5 linked regions of the Canis lupus familiaris genome follow. The protein of the gene in region 3 purifies or fractionates together with the protein of the main gene of each other region. This does not show direct contact. Links are inferred from orthologs where the notes say so. Each region holds a gene or a part of one and is shown on either strand. Other genes may lie near its edges. The genes, in order: CCDC86, SON, SRPK3, FTSJ3 and EBNA1BP2.

Region 1 (3,500 bases), on a different chromosome or scaffold from region 3:
ATCTCTGCTGAAGGTCTTCTCGTTCTTAGTATTTGAGTGTGCGCAGCAGCCTCCGAGACCACAGCACATGACATGTACAGGCCGGTATTCCATGGGATGCCCCGTGGGCAACGCTGGTAATCCTCATGTTCCCAACACCTGCGTCCCAACCACTTAGAGGCTGGGTGGCTGTCCCTTCCAGGGCGTGGATGTGACGGCCACCTTGGGCCTCCCTTGTTAGCACATCCACTGCGCCAGGTTTCCTCTACCCACCACGCACCAGAGGACAAAGAGCGCTGCACTCGGGTCTGTCCCGGGGCCTGGTGCAGAGCTGTGGCCAGTAACTGGTGGGTGAAATGCTAGTAGAAGAGTGGAGGGAGAGACGTTCTTGGGGTCTGGGTCCAGTGCTGCCTGAGCCACTCCTGGCTGGGGGCCTGAAGGCGGGCGGCCAGCTTACGGTTTCCGCAGCAGGGGCTCAGCAGACTGAACACACACCCATCTTATCACCTTGCCACACTCCCTGCGACCCTCCCCTGCTTCATTTGTAGCACTTCTCACAGTCTGATACACAATACTATTTCCTTGTTTATTAGGTTTTTTTCCATCAGAATGAAAAATGCCCCTTTGTGGGCAGGGGCCTCTGTCTGTATTCCCCATACCTAGAATTGTGCCTGTACACAATGGGTGTTCAATAAATATTTTTATTACAGACTGAATGGTCTGAGTGAATCAGATGCCCAGGTAGCCTTCTCACAGTCCAAGAGAGGTGAGAGCGCGCTGGGGGGGGCGGGGAACGTCATTCCCCGCAACCTCCTTCACCCTTCCATGTTGAAAACTCGGGGAAACCGGGTTCCAACAGCTGGGTGACAGGGTCAGTGGGCTGCAGAGATGCCCAAGGCAGCCTCTGGGATGGTGCAAGGGGAACTGGTTCCTGACTGCAGTCTCCTGGTCAGGGGCGAACCTGTGACCTTGAGACAGAAATACACATTTTGAAGAGTCACCCTCCAGCTGTCAGCTCCCAAGGAACCAGAGAACTGACTCTTTGTGGTTGTAAGGCACTTGATGAAAGAGGAAGGAGGCAGGGGTGGGCTGAACCTGTTCCCTCCTCTAGTTCTGCCAGGCTCCTGGCTTCCTAGGGCTTGAGAGCCCTCAAAGGCCTATAGCCTCTCTGGGGTGGAGGAGGGTGGCACTAGTGTTGGAGTACCACATCCCACAGAGGCGTGTGACCACTGGCCCGGCAAGTGCCGAGTCTGACATAGCGGTTGGTCACAGGAGACTTCTGGGTTGTCCTGAGCTCAAATCTTGGCTGCTGGCTGCTGGGACGGCTGTTTCTGCAGCAGCGCCAGCGTATCCCTCTTCTGAATGGAGCGAAGCTGTTTCTTCTTTGCCCGCTTGAGCTTGGCGGGGTTTCGGATCTGGGGGTGGTGTGAGAAGAGGGCATTAGTAGGTTGTAGTCTCTGCCCTGTGCCCCAGGGGGAAGGGAGGCTGCCCCACAGGGGTCTGGATCACAGAACAAGGAGAGGTCTCGAGGCAGGGGTGTCGAGGCATCTCGAACACAGTGCCCAGCCTGGCTGCGGTTCAGATCCCCGTGAGCAAGACAACACTCACCACTTGGACAACCTCTGCCCTCCGCTCATTCTCCAGGCGGCGTTTCAGGTTCTCAGCCCGGCGCTGTTTCTTCTCCTGGAACACACAGGGGGATGAGGATTTGAGTCTGGGAGCTGGGACAGCCCTGGTTGCTTAGGTCTCAGAAGAGTCAGAGCTGGCTGAGTTCCCAAGGAGAGGAAAGACCTTCACCTTAGTTCAATTGTTCCTGGTGGTATGTGGGGGGAGGGCCAGCAAGGAGATATGCCTGTGCCCCTGGAACCAGAGGCCCACTGTGGTGGGAAGTTCCTGACTGCAGCCAAGAAGTTGGGCACCTGGTCACGTAGCCTAGATAGGATGGTGGGTAGGGGGCAGTGAGACACAGTGGCTCCCCCCACCTGGAAGCTTGGGCATGCACAGTGGTCTCTTTCCTCCTTCCCACCCTCACAGGGTCCCTAAGGTTTGCCCAGGTGTGGGCTGGGAGGGGTGGAGGCCATAGGGAAGAGGCTCCCGAGCTGTCTGGCCCTGACTCAAGTCCTGCCTCTGCTACTTCCAAATGGGTGACCTTGGCCAAGCTGCTGAACCTCTCTGTGCGTCAGGTACCCGGCCCAGGGGGGACACTTCAAAGATGGATCTAGGTGGAGTCTTTCTCGGGAATGGGAAGTGCGGTGCCTCCTGGCTATGCTGCCTGCTGTCCCTGGTGGGGCCTGAGGCCACGGCATGGTCAGGAGAGCAGAGGTGGCCTGGGCCCCAGAGGAGGAGAAAGGAGAAGTAAGATATGGGCTCCTGTTGGGGGAAGGGTTGGGCTGGGGGCGCTCCTGGGGGGCGGTGACAAGAAGTCGGGTCTTGCCCAAGAGGGAGTCAGGGCCACACAGGAAGTATGATAAGGAGTCGGCACACAGCAGCAGCCACAGTCTGCAGGGCCTCAGCCACAGGCTGGACTGGTGGGGTGACTCAAAGCAGGGGATGGAGGACTGAACGTACTGGCCTAGCCCCTGCCCTCGGTGGCCAGGTTCAGGGTGAGGTGTTTGACTTCTCCCGTGCCCTGGGATCACTAGGCAAGTAACATCCCTGACAACCCCAGGCCTGGCGTGCTGCCTGCTGGGGCTTCCTGGAGACTGGAAGGGGTCGATGGGAACCTCTAAAGGGGCATTTCTGGCCTGGGGATGAGTGTCAGGGAGCAAGCTGGAGGGAAGTACAGGCACCCACCTTGCTGATAAGTGGTAGCTGTTTCTTGGAGAATGATGGCCACAGTACGAGGGATAAGCCTTTCTCCTATGGAGGTGCGGACCCTGAAGCCCATCTCACCAAATGCTGCTATCAGCAGTGAGAGCCACCATGGGGGTGGGGAGCAGGGGGACTTTGTCCTGGGCTCCTCCCCATACTTGAGTCTCTTACAGAGCCCTGGGCCAAACTGGACCTTCCACTGGGCTTTCCCACCCTGCAGGCCATACTGGACTTCTGCTTCTGGCCAGGCTCCCTGCCTCCCTGTGGCAGTTAGGTGCCCCCTCCAAGGCCTATTACAGCAGTCACCGGCTCAGCTCCCTGAGCTCCAGCCTCAGCCTGGTTGGCCGGCCCCTCACCTGCTGGCGTTTCTCCTTCTCCTCCTCTAAATGCCGGGCGAGGTCCTTGGCCAGCTTCCTCTCCTGCCGTTCCTTCATCTTCTGCTGCCAGGATGTACGCAGGGGCTTGCTCTGTACCATCTGGGAGAACCTGGATGGGAGACCAGGGATGAGTGCTCAGGTCATCCATGGGAGGCCCCCATGCCTCTTCTTCTCTCAGCTCCAGGCTCTGGGCCTTCCTCCTCAGAACCCAGGCAGAACTACATGCTCTCCTACCTGCTTGCCAGGCAGGCACCCCTCTGGGTCTGCAGAAACGGGGGTAGGAGTGGGCCCCTATCATGCCAGCTGCCATTTCTTAAGCCCTAGTTATGTGTC
Region 2 (3,699 bases), on a different chromosome or scaffold from region 3:
CTGCTCTGGCAATGGGAGCCCTTCAGTTGCAGACGACTCTGGAAAATCCATTGTTGTTGATGTGCTTGGCTCAGGATGTACCTCAGTAGGTATCTCAGGCGATACCACAAGGGTTTCCGATGACTCTAGCCCTTTTGCTACTGGAGGTTCTAATATGATCTGTGACTGCTCTGGAGGTATGGTCTCCAAAGATTTCAGCACAGGCTTCATCTGATACTCCATTGACATTGTTACAACTGGCTCAGGTGACTTTAGCACTACTGTTGTAGTAGGCACTGGTGCCGTTGTAAAAGAATCCAGAATCTTTGTCATGGATGGTTCCAGCGTGAGTGCCACAGACTGCTCTGACTGCACTGAAATTACTGATGTTGATGCAACTGACAGTTCTGCAGTTTTTGTAGCTGGCTTCAGAGTTTCTAAGGTGTGTGACTCTGATATCTCCATGGACACCACAGGAGGCTCTAACACAACTGCAGGAGATTCACTGGTCTCAGAAAGGCCAAAAGCTCTTACAGGATGCTCCAGTGCCATCGCTGAAGGTTCAGAATCAAACTTCAAAAAGGAATCTGATTCTAAATCTATGTTCCCATCATGATGTGATTTCACCTTTGACTCAGATTCTTCTGGCTGTCTTTTATACTTTTTTTCCTTTTCTTTCTTCTTTTTCTTCTTTTTATTTTTGTGCTTTTTATGCTTCTTTGACTTTTTGGTGGGAATTTCATCAGTAGGATCTGTTTGTACAGACACACATCTACTTTTTCTGGAGGCCTCCTTCAGGTCTGAAATTAAAGAAAGTTAATTTTAATTTGTCAAACATTCCCCACAGTAAACTTAAACAAGATTTACATTCCACGTTAAAATACCACAGTATTATGCTTCTCATTAAATAAAGTTACCAACTAAAACTTTTTACTATGAACCAATTACCTAAAGACTGAAACTTTCCCAATATTTCTTTCTACAACTAAAGTCTGGGTTAAGGGAAACTTGGGTGGCTCAGCAGTTGAGCGTCTGCCTTTGGCTCAGGGCATGACCCTGGAGTCCTGGGATCAAGTCCCACATCAGGATTCCTGCAGGGAGCCTGCTTCTCTCTCTGCCTCTGTGTGTCTCTCATGAATAAATAAATAAAATCTTTAAAAAATAAAATCTGGGTTAAAAACAAATTCTCAGTTTATCACAAAAACTTGAGTGTCACGCTAAAATGTGTTTACTATGGGACGCCTGAGTGGCTCAGTGGTTGAGCATCTGCCTTTGGCTCAGGGCCTGATCCCGGGATCCAGGATCGAGTCCCACATCAGGCTCCCTGTGAGGAGCTTGCTTCTCCCTCTGCCTATGTCTCTGCCTCTCTCATGAATAAAATCCTTACAAAAACAAAAAAAGCGTTTACCAAACTTATTTACAACTATTTTCTCCACCTTACAAATTATAGCAAGCTACTTTCAAACTACACTTAAGAAAACTTCATATTACCAACTCTTAAAATTCCTGTAAAAATGCACCTGTTAAATAATTTTTAGGACTATTTAATAACCCAAAGCAACACGCCACTGGCTCAGGAACAGACAGTCTGCTTTTAGATCCTATATCAATTAACACTCACTAGGTGAATGGACTTGGCAAAATTATGACACTGTCTCCTAAAGTTACAGGACAAAGGGAGTTAAAACATACAAAGTATGTTGAACAATGCCTGCCATATAATAAGCCTTCAAATACTAGTGATTGCTTTTATATAGCATACAAAGAAAGGACTGAACAACTAATATAAAATGCCAACACAAAACTTGAATTTTATCTCACTAAAATTCCCATGTTACCTTCTAATAAAAACACTTTTTCCTTCAACGCTCTTTTTAAAATTACTAAAATAATCTTAATGCTTCCACTCAAAAAATAAGTCCCTTCAGGAAAGAAATTCACTTTTTTTAAAGATTTATTTATTTATTTATTTATTTATTCAGAGAGAGCGAGAGAGAGGCACAGACACAGGCAGAGGGAGAGGGTGAGGGAGAAGCAAGCTCCATGCAGGGAGCCCGACATGGGACTCGATCCCAGGTCTCCAGGATCACACCCCGGGCTGCAAGCGGCGCTAAACCGCTGTGCCACCGGGGCTGCCCAAGAAAGAAATTCTTATACCCCTTTACATTTAACCTAAAAACACCGCGTATCTGAAGAGAAAACAGTTTTCTTCTTTACAACTAGATTAATTTACTCTAATGCCAATACCAACTTAAATTCTAGTGGTCCCAGAAAAGCTGATCGGGGGCAGCCCCGGTGGCTCAGCGGTTTAGCGCTGCCTACAGCTCAGGGCGTGATCCTGGAGACCCAGGATCGAGTCCCACATCGGGCTCCCTGCATGGAGCCTGCTTCTCCCTCTGCCTGTGTCTCTGCCTCTCTCTCTCCTCTCTGTGTATTCTCATGAATAAATAAAATCTTTAAAAAAAAAAAAGAAAAGAAAAAGAAAAGCTGATCAGAAATCCAGGCCACTAAGACTATGGAAAAAATGAATACAAGACAAGATCCATTTCAAAGAAAAACTACTTTATACTACTTGTTATTTACATATCTAATACCAATTAGCTAAGTTATACTTCAAGAAAAAACTGCTACAGCCATGAAATCTAAGGATAGCAGGAGTCAAAGCTGGGTGGTGGTGGTTGTTTTTTACCATATGCTATATCAAAAATAATGAAAATAAAAAATAAAAACCCATACCACCCCCTCATTTCCAAAACTGAACAAAGCTAGTTATTTCTGTGGTTGATCATAAAGCTTTCGTTTCTAAGCATCAATTATTTAATTAATTCCCAAAATACATTATCAAAGCAAGGATTCCTCTCTACTCATTGCACTTGTAAGAAGGTAGATGCAAAAACAAGGCAATCTCTAAACTTGGGCTTTAGGATAAAACCTCCTAGGGTTTTAAAATCATTACAAATTTGATTCAGGCTCTTATACTTTCCAAAATGGACATTTAAACAATTTTTCCATGAAAACCTGCATTCAAAATCCTGGTAAAGAAGCACTACAAAACTAAATCAAATAAAGTTATATTCCACCAACAAAGCAACCAAGTATCAATGCTCATGTTTAAATATAACTGTATTTTCAGAGACTTTGAATAGTTTTCAGTAAATAAATTCAAACTTACTACAGTTTTAGACCAAGTGAACATTTTTTTTCCAAGTGAACATTTTTAAACAACATAAAGAAATAATATTGTCAACTACTTAAGAATTTTTAAGTTTTTGAGAAAGCTAATTATCTCCAACTTACCTGGCTTATATCGTAGTTCTGTATCTAAGACCCCAGAAAGTACTTCCTCTATCTTCTGAACTATTTCTTCATTTGGGAGGCTCCTGGCAGAGGCAGCTGCATCACCTGCCTGGTTTCCTTCATTAGGTGTATTTGTTTCACCATTGAGCTGGCCTTCACTCCTTCCACTTGACAAGAAAAGTTACCAAAATTCATTAATACTTTTACCACACCATACACTGAATTAGTATTTCTAACGCGATTGAAACAATCTTACACCGTTCACGCATTTCACCATTTTTGTATTTTCTTTCAGGTGATACTCCCCACCAACAGTGCTTCTTTCACCCTATCTACTAGAAGTTAGTACAGTTTCATTTTTACACAATTACTTAATTTTCAGAACCATGGAATTTTAGAAAAAAAAAATCTTTGAAACAGCTT
Region 3 (2,227 bases):
TTAGGCTGCATTCCTACGCCACTTCCATCCGTAAGGCCGTGTTGGCATCCATGGACAACGAAAATGTGAGGCTCCGCTTCTCCCCTCCCCTGCCTTCCCCCCAGCCCCTTCCCCCAGGAGGGCTGGAGCTGGTGTGCCATCTGAGGGGCAGGAAGTGGTGACCTGGCACCTCCCACTGCCCCCAAGGGGAGGGCGGAACCAGGCAGGGTAGGGCTTTCTGGACCTGAGCTGGTCCCGCTGCCCCTCCAAGCCATGGGAGATAGTGGGCTGCCCTCGGGCTGCCTACAGGGTGGGGGTCAGGTGTTGGCAGGTCCCGGGTGTGTGTGCCCGAGCCTGTCTGTCTCCCGCAGATGCACACCCCCGACATAGGAGGCCAAGGCACTACGTCGGAAGCCATCCAGGACATCATCCGCCACATCCGCATCATCAACGGCCGGGCCGTGGAAGCCTAGGCGGTCCCTGGGACTGCCTCCACCCGCTACCCCTTCCCACTGCCGGCACTGCAGCCAGGTGGGTGGGCAGACCGAGAATAAACCACCCTCTGTCCCCTCTCTCGGCCGCCGCGCTCCTGTCACTCCAGGATGCTGACGTTTCAGCTCACACTTTATTAAGAAAAGAAATACGCACACTTCCCACTCAGGGCCCTTTGTGAGGGTTGGGGGCAGAACGAATTCTAAACGGTGGGCCAGGCTCCAGCATCTTCCTGCCCTGCCACGGGCTATGAGAAAGCTGGCACCCAGGAGGGTGGCAGGAGGCATCCCGCCTTCCCTGAAGGCACTGGGAGGGGCATGAGGGTGATCAAGGCCCGCCTCAAGCTGCACAAAGTGCCCGTCGAGGCCTAGGGGTTGAGCCAGGGGTGCTGGAGGCAGTCGGCGGCGCTGGCCCGCTTTTCGGGGATGTATTCCATCATGGGCAGCAGGAAGGCGCTGAACTGCGTGGCCTGCTCCAGGGGCCACTCGTACTTCTCCATGAGCACCTCGTACAGGCCCCAGTGCTTGAGGTTGTGGATGTGCCGCAGCTCTCCTGGGGGGTGGGGGGGCAGTGGCCTTGGGTGAGGCTCTGCCGGGAGGGCCCCGGGACCCGGCACTCCCCCTGCTTGGGAGCCTGTGGGCCCTGCCCTACCCTGGACATCCAGGAGAACGGAGCCTGCTCAGTCCTACCTCTCCGGTTGAAGAACTCCCGGGAGTAGCGGCCTGAGAGGGCAAAGGCTGGGGGGATGTCTCCCAGAAGCTCCACAATGTGGGCGATGTGGTCTGTAGACAGAGAGGAGGCTGGGGGGCAGCCGGGCGGCTGGGAGGCCCCGAGGCTGAGCCCAGGGCCGGCCTCCCCCTACCCTCGTCACGACTGTAGTCTTCTCCAGAGTGAGGCTCGAATAGGTAGTCGCCGGTGGCCAGCTCGAAGGCCTGGAAGGGGGAGAAGGTGAGGCTGCCAGCCGGTGGGCTGGCCCTGGGCAGCCCCAGCTGAGGCATACCATGCACGCCGTGCTCCAGATGTCGGCGGGGGGCCCGTATTCCGCTCCGATCAGCACTTCCACAGCCCGGTACTGGCGAGTCTGGATGTCCTCGGTGAAGTGCTTGTGCTGGAGGCAAGGGGAGCCCTGGGGAGCAGCCGGGGCCACAGCCGGCCTGCCCCCACTGGCCCCCACCATCTCCCACCGCCTCTGGGCCCATGAACCCAAGGAGCCCAGTGGGGTTCGCTCAGCCTCAGGGTCCCCAGAGGTCCCGAGAGGGACTGGCCTCCCCGCCCCTTGCAGTGGGTCCAGTTCCGCTGACTGGATGGGACAGATGCTGGTTTGGGCCCAGTCCTGGGTCTGAGTCATGAGGCAGACCCTGGGGTCTGGTCGAGTGGCACTGTGGGCCCCAACGGGCTCCTTGGGAGCGGGCCTGCGCCCCTGCCCTCAGCAGGGTGCCCAGCTCTGCTCTCCAGGCCAGCTCATACCACCCAGCAGGCGTTGCCCAGGTCTGCGATCTTGATCTTGATCTTGTCTGCGTTTTGGGGCTCTAGGGGGTTCACCAGGAGGTTTGAGGCACCAAACGGTGCTGGAGAAGGAAGAGAAGTGGGGAGAGACTGAGCTGGCCTGGGGTGGGGGCAGGCAGCCCTGCCCGCCGGCCACCCACCAAGTCTACCCACAGGCCCTGCCCAACTTACTGCTGGGTGACAGGAGGCCCCCGGTCTCCCGTTGGTTGGAGGAGCCTGAGAGGATGGAGCACGAGGCAGGAGAGAAAAG
Region 4 (4,224 bases), on a different chromosome or scaffold from region 3:
TCCTGGGCCTTCATCTCTGCCAGGGTCCGGTTTAATTGTTCTTCCTCCTCCTCCTCTTTAGAGGGCTGCCTCCCAGTCCCGGCCTCAGACTCTTCACCCTCCTCCTCCTCCTCTTCCTCTCCTGAACTGAGGCTGACAAAACAGTACAAGCACCTTGGTTATTTCCTCACACAATCCCCCAGCCCCCACCTACCCTAGTTCCATTCCTTCCTTACCTGATGTCCAGTGCCTTTGCTTGCTCTTTCAGCTTCTTGGCCACATATCGCCGGAGCTTTGTTCTCCAGTTCAGTAGGGACCTGTCCCAGAAATATAATGACTAATCTTACCATTTCCTTCTTTGTCCTTGTCCCCTTTTTAGGCCCCCACCTCAAATCTCTAGCACAGTAGCATGTGTGTCCCAAGATCCAACACTATATGAATTCCTCAAATTGTCCCCTCAAGAAAAAAAAAGCTGCTGCATCTTCAAAGGCCTTTCCCTGCCCTCGGGGCTCCTAGCTCTGTGCCCATCCCAACTGCATACCTAAGCTCCTTGCGCCCTAGCACTTTGATATCCTGACAGCATGCCCAGATATCCTCAGTGGTAGCTGGATGCTGTGCCAACTCTTCATCATCCAGGGAGATCTGTTTGGGAGGAAGGAAACAAGTCAGGGAAATTTTTATGGACATGTTTCTGGCGCTTCCCTATACCCCTCAGATCTGACGACTCACTTCGCTGGCTTTGGAGAGGAAATCAACGGGGTTGGCAGCTCGGAGGAAGTCAGTGACTGAAGCACGGTGATAGAGCGTGAGATCACCCTCAGCATAGCCTTCAGCCTTACAGAGAAAAAGAATGAAGGTTGAAAATTCCCTTCTAAAATGTCTATAGGACCCACCAGACCCAACTTCCCCCAGACTCCAGGACTGGAGAGTGGCCCCATTCCCCAAACCCACCTTTGGCTTTTTCTTAGTCACCAATTCAGTAACAGTCTTGGCCTGAACTTCAATCTCCTTGAAGGCAAATTTGGGATCAAAGAACTTACTGTCAACCTTGTCAGGAGCCAGGAATCCTAAAGCGATAGGATATGTAAGAAAGCGTACTTTGGTAAAAGCTGCTAAGAAACAAAAAAATGATGCCCACCCTGGCAAACTACAAAGATCTCCGCAGATTCATGGCGAGAGGCTTGGGGCTTAGTGGCCTGGACACGGTGAAAGAGCTGCTGGAAGATCCACAGTAGGGGCTGATAGTCACGGGAACGAAAAACCTTTGTGATGAAGCAGCCACCACGGGCCAGAAAATCACAAGCCAAACGTAGAGCCATCAGTGTCAAATGGGCTGTGGGAGAGAAACAATTAGCTGAGGACCTCTGCAGCCTGAGAGAGCATGCCTACCTCCACCCTCATCTCCATGTCCCCCTACTCCCAGCACCTTGTGAGTAAGCATCATGGACCCAGCTAGCCCCAACATTGGGGGCCCCATCGTTGAGCACAACATCAACTTTCCAGGTCTTCAGTTCCTTTCTCAGGGCCTTCAGACAAAACAAAACAAAACAAAACAAAACAATTATACCAACAGAAATACAAAAATGGCTATGAATGCAATTCCTCATTCAGCCATTTGTCCACCCAATCATTTACTGAATAGCCTGCATTTGGCCAAATCCTGTGCCAGGTACATAATGATTAAGCAACAACAACAAAATTGCATTTATCTTCACAGAGCTTACAGTCTACTTGCAAGCCCAAAGAAAAGATTTCAACAACATCGCTGCTCTTCTTCCAAACACCTCACCCCTGACTTAAAAAAGCCTGGACTGAAGACTAAGCTGTATCATAAGCCTTGTCATATAGATCCTACAGGCACTGCTTAAGATGTGTTAAACAGAAAAGGCTTGCCTTTAGAGAACTTGGGATGGCGAGACAGACAAACTTGGGTGTCTCCAAAGAAAGGACGCAGAAAAAGAGCGATTCCTGTTACCTGCCTACAGCGTTCTGTTGTGATGTCCTCCTGGAGTGTCACCACATTGGGAAGAGGCTTGATTGGAACCAGGTCCACTCCTGCAATAAATCAGGTCAGAAAGTTACAAAGGGATGCCCTAAGCAAGGAGAAAGGAAATGCAGAACACAATTAGTATCTCATTCTCCCACCCCTTTACCACTCAGGGGGCCCATCCGTTACTCACCCACAATAAGGCTGGATACAGGCATAAACTTAGCAGCCACCTGCAGCCTAGAAAAGAGTAATGCCGACTAAAATAACTCAAGACTACAATAACTCAAGACCGTTCCTCCCCCTCCCTTGGCAATAGGCTCTCTCACCGCGTGCCTTAAGAGGCGCTACCAAGTGCAGTGCCCCGACCTACGTCTAGGAAAAGCATGAGACTGGTATTGCCGTATCCCTCCCGCCCCCCAGTGCCACTCCAAGTCCTCCACGGCCGGGACCCTCAACGCAGCCACAAAGAGCCGCAGGTGCCGGGTGTACCCACCATCCCCCGGGCGCAGCACACAGGTCCAGCAAGGCTCGTGCTTTCTGCAGGAACTGAAAACGGCGATTCAACTGGATCAGCTTGAAAGCAGAGCGGGAGCGGTAACCTGGGGGCACCGACAAAATGTTAAACTCGGCGGGGGGCTTTCCCAGGGAGATTTCTGCGACTTCACAACCCACCACCCCGTCTACAGAACGGAAACTCAGTATTCGGAAAGGTGGGAGAGAATCGAAAACGTCCCTCCTTAGCTCGCAGACAGCGCGGACCCTGACTCACCGGTCTCCTTCGCCAAGTGATAGAACTTGTCCCGCCGGCTCTTCCCGACTTTGCCCTTCTTGCCCATAGTGGAACGGGAGGACTGTCACTTAACCTGGGGACAGAAAAATTGAAACGCCGCTTTCCGTCCCCCACTTGTCTCTGCAAGCACGGGGAATCTCTGCCTTTTTCACCACTCTGAGAGAGGCACGTGGGGGGCAGCACACGTACTTCCGTTTCCGCTTGCGTCGCTTGCGTCTCCGGCTCCAAGTTTCCGCCATTTTGAGCGTGGCCGAAAAGTTTTCTTTATGTCCTTAAGTATTGCAAGTTGGAAGTTGGGACCAGGTGAGCGGATTACCTGATCTAAAACTGAGTTCCTAGAGAGCAACATTTAGGAGTTCCGTGGCCTCCTCATCCCTTTCCAAGCTCCTGACCTCGCGTAGCCACCTTCTCATCATGGCCTCTGTTTTTGTAGTCGTCGCGACGCACACCCCGCCCATTGACCCGGAATTCTTCTCTGTCAGGGTCGCCGGGCCCCAAGCCCCTATTTTTGCGCCTGCGCGCCAAGGTGGCTCGGATGCCGGCGGCCGCCGTGGGTGAGAGAAGATGGCGCTTGACGGGCCGGAGCAGGTACGGCGGCTGCGGTGGCCGGGTGGGGACGGGGCCTCGATGCGAAGCAGGCGCGATCCGAGGTGGGCAGACGGCCGAGGCAAGGGGGTCGGGTGGGTTGGGTGGGTGGACCAATCCAGACTGGGCCCTGCGCGGGACCGGATCTGCTGTGTCAGCGCCGCCCGCGGCGGGTCAGAGCAGGGCCGGGAGAGAAAGACCCGGGGGAAGCGGAGCGAATGAGGGGAAGATGGCTCGGTACAAAGCGCTCTCGTGCATGTTGTCCCTTGATCCTCCTGAAAGTCTTACGAGGTAGGCGGCATTCTCCTTCTGCTTTGAGTTAGTCGCGGGGAAGTGGAGGGTTCTAAAGAGATGACTGAGGAATTCAACCCAAATCCCATTCCTCCAAAGTCCAGGCTTTTTTCCCTTGCATTTTGGGGGTTGGGGGGCTAATAATTACCCTGTGTCTTCAGATGGAGCTGGAAGAGGGGAAGGCAGGCAGTGGACTCCGCCAATATTATCTGTCCAAGATCGAAGAACTCCAGGTGAGGATGGACTACAGAGGCAGCTAGGAGGGGATGAGGGACTGGAGTATGTTTATATAAACCCACGTAGTCCGGTGGGGGCGCAGTGGAAGAAGTAACTGGTCAAGGATAGGAGTATATGAAGTTAAGTTTCTTGTTTCTCTCACTTCTCACCCTTTGAAGGTAATCAGTATACACGGTTTATTACACATCGTTGGCTGTCAGATTTTGACGTAAGAGGTACTCTTTGCCAAGTACTATTCCTTTTAGAAGTTTGAATTGAGGGTTTCTTATAAAAGGTAACGCGGAAGCTGGGATGAGACGTAGCACACGGGCTGGGACAGGGTGAGAGCGAGAAGGGAGACCGAAACTCCCAG
Region 5 (3,134 bases), on a different chromosome or scaffold from region 3:
GGGAAAGGAGAGAAAATGAGTGGGAAATATCAGAAAGGGAGACAGAATATGAGAGACTCCTAACTCTGGGAAACGAACAAGGGGTGGTGGAAAGGGAGGTGGGCAGGGGGTGGGGGTGACTGGGTGACCGGCACTGAGGGCACTTGATGGGATGAGCACTGGGTGTTATGCTATATGTTGGCAAATTGAACTCAAAAAAAAAAAAAAAAAAAAAAAAGGCAAGAAACTTGCTCAAAACTACCCAAAATGGTGGACTTTAGACCCTAACCCTAGGTCTATACACTTAACCATTGTGCTGTGAGATGAGGAATCTACTTCTACTAAATATTCACTTAAAATGTGCCAGATGCTTAAATCACCCTACTTTAGTTTTTTGTTTTTTTTTTTAAGTAAGCTCTACGTCCAACGTGGGGCTTGAACTCACAGCCCCAAGATCAAGAGTCAAATGCTCTACTGACTGTGCTAGCCAGGCGCTCCCTAGATCACCCTACTTTAATCTTCTAAGACTGATATGGCTAAAAGGATCCATCACATAGGCCTTTAGCCTTGGCTGCAGGTAGCACTGCGCTCTCTCAACCCTGAGGCCACTCCTATGGTCTCCCCAACTTGCCCCTGGACTGCCTGCCCAGTACCCACCACAAAACCAAACCAGAATCCTTCATACCCCTTCTTCATCTGCTGGCTTTTTGCTCCTTCCTTTGTTTTCCGTGCAACGGGTTTCTGATCCCCCTCAAGAAAATCCAGTTTATCAGAAAAGCCTGGGGGTGAAAAGGTACTTTGATCAGCATTAACACATTTTAAGAAAAACTGAAGCTTCAAAAGAAGGTTGTTACTTAAAAAAAAAAAAAAAAAAAGGTGGTTACTTGCTAAATTAATTTAAATTTTTTTTTTAATTTTTTTTTTTTTTTTTTTTTTTTTTTATGATAGTCACACAGAGAGAGAGAGAGGCAGAGACACAGGCAGAGGGAGAAGCAGGCTCCATGCACCGGGAGCCCGACGTGGGATTCGATCCTGGGTCTCCAGGATCGCGCCCTGGGCCAAAGGCAGGCGCCAAACCGCTGCGCCACCCAGGGATCCCGCTAAATTAATTTTAAGAGGCATATTCTGCTCCCCACACTGTTCCCAAACCTTAGGTCCAATGGTTCCAAATCAATCAAGGCTCTAGAAGCAGGATATGTTAAAATAGCAGCGGCCCCTGCTCCCCTATATCCTTAGAAGGGAGATATACTGACCTTTCTGATATTTCTTAATGGCATTCATCATATGTGTTTTCTCTCGCTGCCTCTTCTGAAGAACCTCTGTTTGCACCTGGGACATGAACATAGGGCTGTCACACCCACTCCAGACCACCATCATTGCAAGTGTCTACATCCGCTTGGTAACACTATGCTAACACCGCGGCCACTTAACATTTACTGTGTGCCAGAACTATGGTAAAGCTCTAAGTGTATTCTTAGTTTATCTTCTCAGCTACCCCATGAAGCAGAAATTCCTAACACTCCCTGAAATTGAAGCACAGAGAGCCTAAGTAACTTGCCTGAGTCACACAGCAAGAAAGTGTACAGCTGAATTCACACCCAGGGGTCTACACTCTTACCTGATTACACAATTCTGCCTACAAAACCATAGCAAGTCACATCTAGATCTACAATCAATTCTCAGGTTCTGTATCTAGCCCCTACTGTTAGTAGGCATGAAAGTATCAACAGAAACAATCCCCCCAAAAAACGAAAAGCAAAACAGTTGTAAGGATAAAAACAGATGCTTCCATTCGAAGGCAGCGTTTTCAATCTCAATACTATTGATAGCTTGGACAGGATCACTCTTTATGGAGGGGTGGATGGCCTGTCCTGGGCACTGTAGGACATTTTGCAGCCTCCCTGCCCTCTATCCACTAGATCTGAGTAGCTCAGTCCCCATTGAGATGTGACACCAAAAATATCTCCAGGCATTGCTGAATATTCCCTGCTAAGCAAAATTATCCCCAACTGAGAACCACTGACATGATGTTTCCTCAAATTAGAAGCAGTGAGCTAACAGGCCCAAAGGAAGTTTTTCTTCGCCTTTGATCAATTAGGTTCCGTTACTACCAACCACTTAGGCCCTTGAGTTGACCTCAACCATCAACTACCAGATCAATCCAATAAATGCAGAGCTGCCCTTCTGCAGAGAACAGGATGCTAATCTACTCTTACTCTGCTGAGGACTTGTCAGTGAAATGACTCCAAATGTGGACAGCAGCACAGCACCCCAGATCATGAATGTTTATGTCCAAAAATGCTGACAAAGTCTGAACACTCATGTTGATCCTCCTTACACTCACTTCTTCCCACTACCCTGACTTTAATTCCTGTCATCGTCTTTCCCAAAGAACCATGAAATAAAGAGGAAAAACCAAGGACACTTTCCCTAGATTTTAAATTAGAACTCAGACATCCACAGCAGTTCAAGCACACAGGTGCCATTTGTCCTCTCACTTGGATGACAATCAATGATATGGTTCCTTCAAAGACTTAACAAACATCTAGGCCAGCGATTCTCCAAAGCAGGATGCATTTCAGAATCATGTAAAAAGTTTTGCGGGGAAGAGAAGACAATACCTGCAGATTCCCTGACACCCTGAAGCCTAGAAATCTGTTTTGAAAAATTTTCCCAGGTGGTTTTGCTGTAGAGTGGGGTTTGGCCCCACTGATTTGAACCCAACTCTTCACTGTACAGATGTGCAAATGAATGACACACCTGCAGTTACCAGGCTACCTCCTCCCACCCAGCCCTGCCCCCTCAAGACTCCAGTGTCAAGGAAAGATGGTGTTTACGAATCCAAGCACACATCCCCCCTCTGCAGTGCAATAATCAACACAAGATGGAACAGACACAGGGCACAGAACCAGATCGGACCCCGGCACCCCGGGCTGACAAACACTCAGCAACATCCTATGCCCACCACACACTTTCCTTCTCACCTTCTTCCCATATTTCCTAAGTGCTCGCAGTTGCTTCGCCTTTTCAGACTTCTCCATGGCTGCCTGTTTAGCCTGCAGCTTCTGTCGAATCTAAAACACAAAATGTTGTCAGCTTATGTTATTTGGATCTGGGCTGACCACTACTTAGGGCGCACTGGAATGGGAACAGAT

What was found.
Region 1: the proteins of SRPK3 (region 3) and CCDC86 purify together in Homo sapiens (affinity purification with mass spectrometry; 3 studies listed by BioGRID and IntAct, with this or other methods). This does not show direct contact. The link is inferred for Canis lupus familiaris from reciprocal best matches to the Homo sapiens genes SRPK3 and CCDC86.
Region 2: the proteins of SRPK3 (region 3) and SON purify together in Homo sapiens (affinity purification with mass spectrometry; 3 studies listed by BioGRID and IntAct, with this or other methods). This does not show direct contact. The link is inferred for Canis lupus familiaris from reciprocal best matches to the Homo sapiens genes SRPK3 and SON.
Region 4: the proteins of SRPK3 (region 3) and FTSJ3 purify together in Homo sapiens (affinity purification with mass spectrometry; 3 studies listed by BioGRID and IntAct, with this or other methods). This does not show direct contact. The link is inferred for Canis lupus familiaris from reciprocal best matches to the Homo sapiens genes SRPK3 and FTSJ3.
Region 5: the proteins of SRPK3 (region 3) and EBNA1BP2 purify together in Homo sapiens (affinity purification with mass spectrometry; 3 studies listed by BioGRID and IntAct, with this or other methods). This does not show direct contact. The link is inferred for Canis lupus familiaris from reciprocal best matches to the Homo sapiens genes SRPK3 and EBNA1BP2.

What each region holds. Positions count from the first base shown.
Region 1 is NC_049239.1:56,039,618-56,043,117, forward strand, and holds the end of CCDC86 (coiled-coil domain-containing protein 86), read right to left. Parts: intron 3,277-3,500; coding exon 3,147-3,276; intron 1,663-3,146; coding exon 1,588-1,662; intron 1,395-1,587; coding exon 1,275-1,394; 3' UTR 545-1,274; downstream 1-544.
Region 2 is NC_049252.1:28,754,312-28,758,010, reverse strand, and holds part of SON (protein SON), read right to left. Parts: intron 3,444-3,699; coding exon 3,277-3,443; intron 780-3,276; coding exon 1-779. UniProt on the Homo sapiens protein: RNA-binding protein that acts as a mRNA splicing cofactor by promoting efficient splicing of transcripts that possess weak splice sites.
Region 3 is NC_049260.1:122,785,632-122,787,858, reverse strand, and holds the end of SRPK3 (SRSF protein kinase 3), read right to left. Parts: coding exon 2,149-2,227; intron 2,040-2,148; coding exon 1,939-2,039; intron 1,580-1,938; coding exon 1,472-1,579; intron 1,404-1,471; coding exon 1,161-1,403; intron 1,024-1,160; coding exon 907-1,023; coding exon of another isoform or gene 839-906; 3' UTR 586-838; downstream 1-585. Other genes in the region: IDH3G (isocitrate dehydrogenase [NAD] subunit gamma, mitochondrial), read left to right, coding at 5-65, 351-452. UniProt on the Homo sapiens protein: Serine/arginine-rich protein-specific kinase which specifically phosphorylates its substrates at serine residues located in regions rich in arginine/serine dipeptides, known as RS domains.
Region 4 is NC_049230.1:15,142,516-15,146,739, reverse strand, and holds the start of FTSJ3 (pre-rRNA 2'-O-ribose RNA methyltransferase FTSJ3), read right to left. Parts: upstream 2,944-4,224; 5' UTR 2,806-2,943; coding exon 2,739-2,805; intron 2,569-2,738; coding exon 2,463-2,568; intron 2,207-2,462; coding exon 2,160-2,206; intron 2,035-2,159; coding exon 1,955-2,034; intron 1,506-1,954; coding exon 1,406-1,505; intron 1,313-1,405; coding exon 1,118-1,312; intron 1,047-1,117; coding exon 931-1,046; intron 814-930; coding exon 709-813; intron 622-708; coding exon 521-621; intron 297-520; coding exon 216-296; intron 133-215; coding exon 1-132. Other genes in the region: PSMC5 (26S proteasome regulatory subunit 8), read left to right, coding at 3,324-3,347, 3,797-3,868.
Region 5 is NC_049236.1:17,083,147-17,086,280, reverse strand, and holds part of EBNA1BP2 (probable rRNA-processing protein EBP2), read right to left. Parts: intron 3,054-3,134; coding exon 2,964-3,053; intron 1,309-2,963; coding exon 1,233-1,308; intron 759-1,232; coding exon 665-758; intron 1-664. UniProt on the Homo sapiens protein: Required for the processing of the 27S pre-rRNA.